Linked DNA regions of Schizosaccharomyces pombe. The main gene of each other region encodes a partner of the protein of the gene in region 2 in a complex. Each region holds a gene or a part of one and is shown on either strand. Other genes may lie near its edges. A codon is read from its position in the direction of its gene.

The links.
Region 1: cnd2 (region 2) and cut3 share a complex: the UniProt entries of both Schizosaccharomyces pombe proteins name them as parts of the condensin complex.
Region 3: the proteins of cnd2 (region 2) and cnd3 are in contact, whole or in part, in a crystal structure (PDB 5OQR), measured with the Schizosaccharomyces pombe proteins. Residues at the interface, in NP_587811.1 of Schizosaccharomyces pombe: Arg477 (codon at 3,578), Asn481 (codon at 3,590), Ala482 (codon at 3,593), Ile483 (codon at 3,596), Asp484 (codon at 3,599), Phe485 (codon at 3,602), Leu486 (codon at 3,605), Gln487 (codon at 3,608), Val489 (codon at 3,614), Val491 (codon at 3,620), Leu494 (codon at 3,629), Phe495 (codon at 3,632), Thr496 (codon at 3,635), Pro497 (codon at 3,638), Lys503 (codon at 3,656), Leu504 (codon at 3,659), Trp509 (codon at 3,674), His512 (codon at 3,683), Arg514 (codon at 3,689), Cys515 (codon at 3,692), Leu516 (codon at 3,695), Leu517 (codon at 3,698), Pro518 (codon at 3,701), Asp519 (codon at 3,704), Asp520 (codon at 3,707), Tyr521 (codon at 3,710), Gln522 (codon at 3,713), Tyr523 (codon at 3,716), Ser525 (codon at 3,722), Arg527; in NP_588207.1 of Schizosaccharomyces pombe: Ile4 (codon at 1,794), Gln5 (codon at 1,797), Ser8 (codon at 1,806), Gln11 (codon at 1,815), Thr12 (codon at 1,818), Arg39 (codon at 1,899), Ala40 (codon at 1,902), Asn42 (codon at 1,908), Ile43 (codon at 1,911), Ile44 (codon at 1,914), Leu45 (codon at 1,917), Val47 (codon at 1,923), Asn51 (codon at 1,935), Ser52 (codon at 1,938), Asn53 (codon at 1,941), Ala54 (codon at 1,944), Arg56 (codon at 1,950), Val57 (codon at 1,953), His84 (codon at 2,034), Arg87 (codon at 2,043), Gly88 (codon at 2,046), Asp90 (codon at 2,052), Ala91 (codon at 2,055), Lys92 (codon at 2,058), Asp93 (codon at 2,061), Val96 (codon at 2,070), Leu131 (codon at 2,175), Asp132 (codon at 2,178), Arg133 (codon at 2,181), Phe165 (codon at 2,277).

The regions. Positions count from the first base shown.
Region 1 is NC_003423.3:1,004,817-1,008,569, reverse strand, and holds the start of cut3 (condensin complex SMC subunit Smc4), read left to right. Parts: upstream 1-2,046; 5' UTR 2,047-2,106; coding exon 2,107-3,753. Other genes in the region: erv2 (sulfhydryl oxidase), read right to left, coding at 1-552. UniProt on the Schizosaccharomyces pombe protein: Central component of the condensin complex, a complex required for conversion of interphase chromatin into mitotic-like condense chromosomes.
Region 2 is NC_003421.2:410,464-414,216, reverse strand, and holds the start of cnd2 (condensin complex non-SMC subunit Cnd2), read left to right. Parts: upstream 1-2,125; 5' UTR 2,126-2,149; coding exon 2,150-3,753. Other genes in the region: histone H3-K4 methyltransferase Set1, read left to right, coding at 1-1,452. UniProt on the Schizosaccharomyces pombe protein: Regulatory subunit of the condensin complex, a complex required for conversion of interphase chromatin into mitotic-like condense chromosomes.
Region 3 is NC_003421.2:1,476,520-1,480,272, forward strand, and holds the start of cnd3 (condensin complex non-SMC subunit Cnd3), read left to right. Parts: upstream 1-1,683; 5' UTR 1,684-1,784; coding exon 1,785-3,698; exon of another isoform or gene 3,699-3,738; coding exon 3,739-3,753. Other genes in the region: serine/threonine protein phosphatase PP2A regulatory subunit B-56 Par1, read left to right, coding at 6-760, 813-1,111, 1,201-1,459. UniProt on the Schizosaccharomyces pombe protein: Regulatory subunit of the condensin complex, a complex required for conversion of interphase chromatin into mitotic-like condense chromosomes.

The DNA.
Region 1 (3,753 bases), on a different chromosome or scaffold from region 2:
AATTACTTGTACCCGTTCAGGAACATTTTCAGCTTCGCTTTCGCGATAGGTCGGCGATCCGATTACATATCTCTCATTAAATCCATCGCATGATGTCTTTGGTTGATTCATTTTCTCATTTAATTGATTGTGTACTTTGCAAGCCCACGTAGTTGCTGCTTTTCGAGAACTTGTTTGTGGAGGATGTACATCTAGTATCTTTTGGAGTTCCACAGAGTATTCACCACATGGCATTGTAATAGCGGAAGAAAATAGATAATGTCTTAAGATATCTCGCTCATCTAATGTTGGTCTGTTTGGATAATTGGAAACAACCGTATGAATTAACTTCCAGTATGCATTTACCATTAAATTATTCGTGTTATTATCGTGCTTCGTGGACATCATCTCAATTGGTTTTCTACCTTGACCTTCTCGATCCGGAAGCGATTTAATTTCAGGCATAAACAGACGCCAATCTTTGTCTACCATAACACTGTGAAAGATCCATATAATAAACGATAAGATTAGTAGGGTAGGGAGAATCACCTGAATTCTTCTATTAAGGATCATGTTTTATAGTATTTAGCTACTTCGTTTTCCCCGTAAGAACACCTTCATCTACCAAATTAATTGTAAAGGAGAACTGCAAGGACAGAAACTCACGCGGCTTTTTTGATCTGATATGCGGCATCGCTATGTTGCAATAACGAGAAGGAATTGATGGTAAACAAAACTAACCTCCTGGGTTATACAGAGCGAGTGCATCGTTATATCTAATGCTAATTAACAGAAAAACTTTTAAAGTAGTAAGATGGAACAGGCTGCTGGATGATCCAATGCATTACCAAATTGATTTAGATAAATGTATTGCCAACCCTTTAATTTTTTTTTTAGATATTAAATATCTTTTATATCAATTCTATATGCTTTTTATTTTAAGACTCAGAAGAGTTTTAATTATAAGTATAGTTAATAGTTAATAAATATGTAGTTTAGTGATAGAGATATAACCAAATAACAACAAAAAAATTAACTAAAGTATCATTATTATAAAGTCCATTGCTAGGTTTTATCACTATAAAATTTTTTTTAAGTTTGGAATTATTTACTAAAAAAAAGAAACTTAACGTAAATAAATAAAAACTAAGAGGACTTGTTAGTTTTTGTTTAAAAAATAAATAAATAAATAAAGAAGGAAGAGTTTAGCTAAGTTATCAAGTGAGCATAGATAGCATATAATAATCTATGTTTACAGATTTAAATGTTTTAAAGATAAATTACTTGCAATTGCTTGAAGATATGAATTTGCGTTTGATTAGTTTAAATCAAAATGTAAGAATTTTGGGTTAAATTAACATATGGCAAAAGGCTTGTCAAGTTTAAAGCTAAAAAAATACAAAACAATAGTGAATTTGAAAAGTTGTTCTAAAAAACTTGGACAAATCGTTTCCTTGCATTAACATTTCATTTAAAGAGCTAATCTATTTATATTACTTACTGATTATTCTTTATTCGTGGTTATTTCACACATAGGGCTACCCAAACAAGGTAAATTTTTGCGTCGTCTTGCTAGATTTAATGAAGGAATACAGAACAAAAAATCTTTGAGCTTTATATTTATTGTGTGAATTGAAAGAGGATGTTTGCTTGTGCTAGTAAAAACTTAGAAACAGCAATGTATTCTGCTCGTCCTTTTAATATTTTGCTAGTGTAAAGTGTCAGAGCAATATTCTCTTTTACTTAATTTTCGTTTTGAGTTAACTTTCAACGTCCAAGAATACCAAATTGACTAGCATAATAATTTAATGTATAATAGACACATGAGTTTATAATTACAGGTAAAAAGATGTTTGAAGTCTTCCTTTAAATCAGGTGTGTAGGTATAAAATAAATAGATCATTTTCATCTAACATGACCTGTTTACACAATTATACTTCAGTCTTTAGTTTATAAACATGGGCTTTAGTGTAATTTAACTGTGGGTTTTTGTATATTTTATTCATTAATTGACTTCATCGTTGGGTGAAATGCTGTTCAACCGTTGTAAACAACACACCTCTTTTCACGACCACCCACTCTTTTAGAATTTTAAGTAATATATAATTTGTTGAAGATACTATCTTTATGTCTGACAAGGGCATCTTTCGAACGTCTTCAACACCCTCGATTGTGGATGTTACGCCAGATCGTGGTGAAAGGCCACGAAAGTTGGTTCGCTCAGTGCTAGAATCTCCTTCTCAGAAAGATGTCGCATCAATTGTCAAGATAGAGCAAACACCATCTCGCCCATTTTTCAATGACTTTTTAAAAAAAAGAATTACCGATTCTTTAAACGAACGCCCTAATTTGCTCAACAAATTTATGTCTGCTCAAGATGGCACTCCATCTAAATCAACAGGTTTCAATGAACGGAGTTCACAACTTGTGTCAGAATTTACTACTACAGAGGATATTGAGAATTGTGAAGAAACCACTCAGGTTCTTCCTCCTAGACTGGTTGTTTACGAGCTACGCCTAACAAATTTTAAATCATATGCAGGAACTCAGATAGTGGGTCCGTTTCATCCTTCTTTTTCTTCAATTGTTGGACCAAATGGCTCTGGGAAATCTAATGTTATCGATGCTTTACTTTTTGTTTTCGGTTTTCGTGCTAGTAAACTTAGGCAATCCAAAGCGTCTGCCTTAATTCATAAATCTGCAACTCATCCTTCTCTCGATAGTTGTGATGTCGAAATTACTTTTAAAGAGGTAAACTCTGACTTTACTTATGTTGATGGAAGCGAACTAACAGTTCGTCGTACTGCTTATAAAAATAATACTAGTAAATACTTTGTAAATGGGGTTGAGAGTTCCTTTTCTGCAGTTTCTAATCTTTTAAAGGAGAAAGGAATAGACTTGAATCATAAGAGATTTTTAATTCTTCAAGGAGAAGTCGAATCAATAGCGCAAATGAAGCCCCGGGCTATATCAGAAGGTGATGATGGTCTTCTTGAATATCTTGAAGATATCATCGGAACCTCGAAATATAAGCCAATTATAGAAGAGAATATGCAAGAACTTTCGAATTCTGATGATATCTGTGCTGAGAAAGAATCTCGTTTAAAACTGGTGCTCTCTGAAAAGGCGAAATTAGAAGATAGCAAAAATTCGGTTCTTTCTTTTCTCAAAGACGAAAATGAGTTGTTTATGAAACAGAATCAGCTTTACCGTACTATTCTATACGAAACACGCAATAAAAAGACGTTAGTTCAAAACTTGCTTAATAGTTTGGAAGGAAAATTACAAGCACATTTAGAGAAATTTGAACAAACCGAGCGAGATATTTCGGAAAAAAATGAAGAGGTTAAATCATTGCGTGAAAAGGCAGCAAAAGTAAAAAACGATTGTACTTCAGAGAAGAAAACTCGCCAGTCTTATGAACAACAGACTGTGAAGATTGAAGAGCAGTTAAAATTTTTACTTAATAAAGAAAAAAAGTTAAAGAAATCCATTGAGGCTCTTTCATTCGAAAAATCAGAAGCAGAAAATTCTTTAAGCTCTCATGATATTGATTCCCAAAAGTTGAATTCTGAAATTGCCGATCTCAGTTTAAGACTTCAACAGGAAGAATTGAGTTTGGATGACATTAGGAAAAGTCTACAGGGAAAAACGGAAGGTATTTCAAATGCTATTGAAGAAAAGCAAAAGGCTATGGCTCCCGCCCTCGAGAAAATAAACCAATTGACATCAGAAAAACAAATTTTACAGGTTGAGTTGGATATGTTATTAAAT
Region 2 (3,753 bases):
GGAAAGCTCCCCAGTCTTCCCAAATTTAAAAAACGAGTTGATTCCAGTAAAATGAATCTTTCAGCGGGTAGTAAAACGAAGTCGAAACTTCAAAGAAGACGTAGAAGAAGGCACGAAGCTCGACCTTTACACTACCAGCTTAATCAAATGTATAACTCAAGCGCTTCTGAAGCCGAGTCTGATCAAGAACTTTTGTTATCTTCTGGAGACGAGCGTGTAGAAAGAGGGAAGATTGGCTCAATAAAGTCTGTGAAGTCTGACGAGGCGACTCCAGTTTTTTCTGATACATCTGATGAAAATGACAAATTCCATCGTTTTCGTACAAAATCTAAAATATCAAAGAAAAAATATGAAAAGATGGAAGTTGACTATACTTCGTCCAGCGAAACCGAATCAGATGCATCAATACTTTCTCCTAGTGCTGCGATTCCAAAATCAGGTAGCGCCATAAAAGATGAACTCATATCGCCTAAGAAAGAGATTGATGAAGTTTTAGCTTTAGCTCCCAAATGGCGTATTAATGAGTTTGATGAAACTGGAAGCGTTTATTATGGTGCACTTCCTTACAATTATCCAGAAGACGATGTACTTCTTGACTTGGATGGTCTACAGTACTTGGTAAAAAATGACGAAGATTACTCATATCTTCAAGAGGCACTCAAGGATGAACCCCTCATGGATATCAACGATCCCAATTTCTGGGCTTATGAACGCAAGTCATGTAAATTTAAGAATGGGGATGTTAAGTATGGAGATACGGCTATTCTTCCAGAACCTAAAGGTTATTTTCGCTCTAATACTAGCGGTTCTGCTAAAAGTGAGGGATACTATATTATTCCAACTACCGAAAAATCACTATATCTACCACTTCGTAATCGATCAACCATCGATACTATTAGTCATTCTACAAGCCGTATCACATCACGAATGAATCGTGTTAACAATAGAAGATTGGCTGCTGGAGTTGAAAAGTCTCAATTGCCAGCCGAAGCTGACTTGCTCAGATTCAATGCACTAAAGGCTCGTAAAAAGCAATTACATTTTGGCCCTAGTCGCATTCATACATTAGGGCTTTTTGCCATGGAAAACATTGATAAAAATGATATGGTCATAGAGTATATTGGAGAAATCATTCGACAACGGGTGGCTGATAATCGTGAAAAGAACTACGTTCGTGAAGGTATTGGAGACAGTTATTTGTTCCGTATTGACGAGGATGTTATCGTTGATGCTACAAAAAAGGGAAATATCGCGCGTTTCATCAATCATTCATGCGCTCCTAATTGTATAGCTAGGATTATTAGAGTTGAAGGGAAAAGAAAAATCGTAATTTATGCTGACAGGGATATTATGCATGGAGAGGAACTTACTTATGATTACAAGTTTCCGGAAGAAGCTGATAAGATTCCTTGTTTGTGTGGTGCTCCAACATGTCGTGGCTATTTAAACTAGACAATGATGCTCTTGGAGAATTGATGGTACATGAATATATGGGCAGCTGTACAATTATAATAGTTCGTTTAAAAAGCACGCATTATATCTGATGGTACACTAATGCTTTTTATTTTTTAATATAGAATAGAATCAATTTTCTGTCTTACATCGTCTGCATTTGATATTGGTTGAATATTTTGAGAGTCAGGATAAATGCGCATACCATTCAGTGGATTGCATTCAGGAGTGATTTAGAAGTAAAATGTTAAGAGATATACTGTCTTAGATATATCCATTTGCTCCACAATACTACGAAGTTCAAGTTTAAATAAACGAAAACGAAAAATAAAATTCTCTTAAAACTTGATAGCTACTGAATTTTAGGATCCAAACTTGATTTGGTATTACCTTGTTAATTTTATATGGAAGATTTATAATAATTGAAACTTCACAAAATTTGTAACAGAATAATAAACAAAAGACTTTTGACTTTGTAATCGGGAAGCCATCAATGAAGTAAATTGGGAAATACTATATTATTTGAAAACAAATTTCAAAAGAAAAATAATGTTATCATATTGGCATTTATTTAGAAACTTATTTGAATCTTTATCATTTGTTGATTAGAAAGAAATATACGGCATATCGTTAAAGCGCGATATACGTATAGGCACACCGACTTACCACTTGTGAACATAAACATTTACTTAAATCAATGAAAAGAGCTAGTTTAGGCGGGCATGCGCCCGTTAGCTTACCCTCCTTAAATGACGATGCATTAGAAAAAAAAAGAGCTAAAGAGAACAGCCGTAAGCAGCGCGAGTTGCGAAGAAGTTCAGCTCTGCACTCAATAACGCCAAGAAGAGAATCTCTAAACAATTCTTCACCATTTAATAGCTCTCATCAGGTTCCTGTTCTTTCTAATTTTGAGGAATGGATTAAATTAGCTACTGACAACAAAATTAATTCCACAAATACCTGGAATTTTGCGCTTATTGACTATTTTCACGACATGTCGCTTCTACGTGATGGTGAAGATATAAATTTCCAAAAGGCAAGCTGTACATTAGACGGATGCGTGAAAATTTATACTTCGCGTATTGATTCTGTTGCTACTGAGACCGGCAAGCTACTCAGTGGATTGGCAAACGATTCCAAAGTATTGCAGCAAACGGAAGAAGGCGAAGATGCTGAAAATGATGATGAGGATCTACAGAAAAAGAAAGAGAGAAAGCGTGCACAACGTTCGGTAAAGACTCTCGTTAAAGATTTCGAGTCAATACGCGCTAAAAAATTTGAGTTAGAATGTTCTTTTGATCCTTTATTCAAGAAAATGTGTGCAGATTTTGATGAGGATGGTGCTAAAGGCTTATTAATGAATCATCTTTGTGTTGATCAACATGGACGAATTGTATTCGATTCTAGCGATACTGTCATCAAGGATTTGGAAAATAAAGATGTTGAAGCTGAATCGCAGGAAGCGGTAGTCGCAGCGCCTATCGAAAGCCATGACACAGAAATGACTAATGTGCATGACAATATTTCTAGGGAGACCTTGAATGGTATTTACAAATGCTATTTTACCGATATTGATCAGTTGACAATATGTCCCTCCTTACAGGGCTTTGAATTTGATAGTAAAGGGAATCTTGATGTCTCTCTCTTAAAATCATTAAGTGATGAAGTTAACATGATAACGACAACCTCCTTAGTGGATAATACGATGGAGAAAACTGATGCTGATGCAGCTTCCCTTTCTTCCGATTCCGATGGTGAAGAAGGACATATTGTGCATGCTTTGGAGGAAATGGCTTACGATGAGGAGAACCCATATGTTGATGTAGTACCAAAAGCAATGGACGAATCCGAAAATCCAGATTTTGGTGTGGATACTGAAGTCAATATGGCTGATGGAAGTACTATGAATGAAAATTATTCTATTATTTCTACTGCCGCTGCGAATGGAGTATACGAATATTTTGACAAGTCAATGAAAAAGAACTGGGCTGGACCCGAACATTGGCGCATTCAGGCATTGAGAAAAAATATCAATAACGCATCAACTGTATTCAACTCTTCCAATACGGCTGAAAGTTCAGATAATGTATCGCGTTCTCTTTCTTCCACGGAACGGAAAAAGCGTCGAGAACTTGATAACGCCATTGATTTCTTGCAGGAAGTAGACGTCGAAGCACTGTTCACTCCTGCAACCAGCAGTCTCAAGCTTCCCAAGTCTCATTGGAAAAGACATAATCGATGTTTACTACCTGATGACTACCAATATGATTCTAAGAGGCTTTTACAGCTTTTCTTGAAACC
Region 3 (3,753 bases), 1.1 Mb from region 2:
TTTAGATGTTCCTGTTAATAAATGGCACTCTCTGGCGTTGGAAAAATTAGAACAATGTTGCGTTGTTTTCGATTTCAACGATCCCTCCACCGATCTTTACGGAAAAGAAGTGAAGCGAGAGGCTCTTCAAGATCTCATTGATTTAATATCTGTTCGAAAGGAAGCAATTGATGAGTCATTGTATCCATCCATTGTTCATATGTTTGCAGTAAATGTGTTTCGTCCTTTACCTCCTCCTTCTAATCCTCCCGGTGAAATCATGGATCTTGAAGAAGATGAGCCGGCTTTGGAAGTTGCTTGGCCCCATCTTCACCTTGTTTACGATTTTTTCTTAAGATTTTTTGAATCTCCGTCTTTGAATACATCCGTAGCCAAGGTGTATATTAATCAAAAATTTATTAGGAAATTACTTGTATTGTTCGACAGCGAAGATCCTAGGGAACGTGATTTTCTAAAGACTACACTTCATAGAATATACGGAAAGTTTCTTTCTCTTCGTGCGTTCATAAGGCGCTCAATTAATAATTTATTTTTGCAGTTTGTCTATGAGAACGAGCAATTTAATGGTATTGCCGAACTGTTGGAAATCCTCGGGAGTATCATTAATGGATTTGCCCTACCACTAAAAGAGGAACACAAAATATTCTTGTCACGTGTTCTTATTCCTTTACATAAAGCCAAATCCCTTCCCCTTTATTACCCTCAAATTGCTTATGGAATTGTTCAATTTGTTGAAAAGGATTCATCTGTTACAGAAGAGGTATGTATATTTCCTAGTGTTTCTTACGTTTTATCTAACGATGACAATATAGGTTGTCTTGGGCTTACTTCGATACTGGCCGAAAGTAAATAGCTCAAAAGAAGTCTTATTTTTAAATGAAATTGAAGATATTATTGAAGTGATGGAACCTTCAGAGTTTTTAAAGATCCAGGTGCCGCTCTTCCACAAGTTGGCAACATCCATATCTAGCCAAAATTTCCAAGTTGCTGAAAGAGCTTTATATTTTTTTAACAACGACTATTTCGTGCATTTGGTTGAAGAAAACGTTGACATTATACTACCAATTATATATCCCGCACTCTTTGAAATTTCAAAAAGTCACTGGAATAGGTAAGTAGTTACTCATTTAAAATCCCTTTTTATTTTCTTTATTTAAGATAAAGAAAGTGGTTTATTAGTTCTTGCTGACGTTTTGTTAGAGTTATACATTCTATGGTTTGTAACGTCTTAAAATTGTTCATGGACATTAATCCTTCTTTATTCGATGAAGTTGATGCTGAGTATTCTGAGAGTCGTCGGAAAAAAGAAGATGAAGAAATTATACGAGAAGAAAGATGGACTATACTAGAAAACATCGCTAAAGAGAATGCTATGAAACTTAAATCTCAAAACCCTACTACTGTGCACTCTACTACTGAGAGACTAAAAAAACTTTCACTTGACTACACCAATGGTTAGGACTTGCATATTTTAATAATGATCCATATATTGTACTTAGTCTCTAATATTCCCTCTTTTACATTTTACATACTATATCATTTTCAGTTAGTATTTCCTTTTCTTTTAATTGATTGTAATAAAATATAAATCGGTAACTTGGTAGCAATCTTCTTTTCAAATTGAATGTTGCAATCTCAAGTGGGCCTAAGCTAGAAGGGTTCATTTTTTTGTTTGCATACCCCAGCTTAACCTACCACTGAGAGCCAACTGTAGGTATGCCAGTGAGGTGCTCCTCAACTTCAGCAAAAGCACTAAAATTGGCATAATATAATTGTTATTGAATATGTCTTGCATTCAAATTATTTCATCTAGTCAAACTTCAATTGCTGGTCATAGAAAGCTATGCAACAAATTGTTTACCCTACGGACGCAGGAAGGATTTGAAACCGACATCCTAAGGGCGCTAAATATTATATTAACTGTTAAAAAAGGAAACTCAAATGCTGACCGCGTTTTGAGGTTCCTAGTAACCTTTGTTAATTACCTTCAGCAGAAGGATCCTGAGATAGACATTGTTCAACCTATCTTAAAACATATACTTCGTGGGTTAGATGCCAAAGATAAAACTGTAAGATATCGTTGCTGCCAAATTATTGCCAGAGTGGTTAATTGTGTAAAAGAAATTGATGATGACCTTTACAATACCCTCAAAGAAAAGCTTTTGTCCAGAGTTTTAGACCGGGAATCGATAGTCCGCCTTGAAGCTGTTGTTGCTTTATCTCGGCTTCAAGAAGACACCGGTGACGAAGAAAACGATGTTCGAAATATTCTTTTATTTTTATTGCAAAACGATCCTAGCTCTGAAGTGCGAAGGTCTGTTCTTTTAAATATTGAAGTTAGCAACTCAACTCTCCCTTTTATTCTTGAAAGAGCACGCGATGTTGATGCTGCCAATCGAAAATGTGTCTATGCCCGAGTATTACCGAAAATAGGAGATTTTCGTTATTTAAGCATAAAGAAGAGAGTAAGGATATTGAAATGGGGATTAAATGATCGTGATGAATCTGTTGAAAAAGCCGCGGCTGATATGCTTGCATATCAGTGGATTGAAAACGCTGATAACAATCTTTTGGAACTTCTAGAGAGACTTGATGTGTCTAACAACTCTGATGTTGCAGTTTTAGCAATTAAAAAATTCTTTGATGTACGCGTGGATAGTTTGTCTCAGCTGGAATTCCCCGAACAATTTTGGTTAGAGCTTACAGCTGAGTCTTCCTTGCTTGCTAGGACATTCAATGAAATTTGTATAGAGAAAAATTACACTGACCTTTTGGATAAAATGCCTGAAGTTGTTCAACTTACATATTATATCGAAAGGCAGTATGTTTCTCTTAGAGACAAGTCTTCTTATGATGAGTCATGTTTTATAATTGAACAACTGTTATACATTGGTCTAAGCCAGGACATGGTTGATGAAATTGGTCGCAGAAAGCTTTTAAAGAGTCTTACAAATAGTCTTTCTACTATGGCCCTTCCAGATTCACTAATCTCTTTACATATAGAACTATTAAGGAAACTTTGCTCTTCTGAAAACGATTTTTGCTCATTGCTAGTTGAAATTATTACGGAGGTGTTTGAACAAGGACATTCACAAAACCAGACTGAGGAACAAGGGAACAGCAATGCTCCAGAACTGAATAAAAATGATTATGAGGGTGAGGAGATTACTGTTTCGCAAAAGTCACCATCTCCATCTTTACCACCTAATGAACTAAATGAGCCTGAACCTGACGACATGGATGGATATAAAGAAGCTTTTAATGAGTTAAGATGCCTTTCGTACGTTCAGTGTCTATTTGAAAACATCACATCCTCCTTAAATGAAAACTTATATATGGTAGACATGCTTAAGACTTTAATTATCCCGGCTGTGAGGAGCCATGACTTGCCAATTAGAGAAAAAGGATTAGAGTGTCTTAGTTTGGTTTGCTTGTTGAATGCTGATCTTGCATTTGAAAACGTTCCTTTGTATTTACATTGTTACGAGAAAGGTTCTGTGGTTTTAAAGTGTACCGCAATTCGTACATTGACTGATATGTTAATACAACATGGAAAAGCCAAGTTCACCGAATATGAAGATGCTATTTCTTCTATACTTTTTGAAGCTTTAGGGGAATTCGAAAATGCCGAATTACAGACTCTCGGTGCTGAGGCGATAGCCAAGTTGTTGGTAATATTGCATTACAGAGACGAACTGGTATGTTGCTGTGTTTTTATAACTTACTTACAACAACTAGTTTCTAAAACCCCTC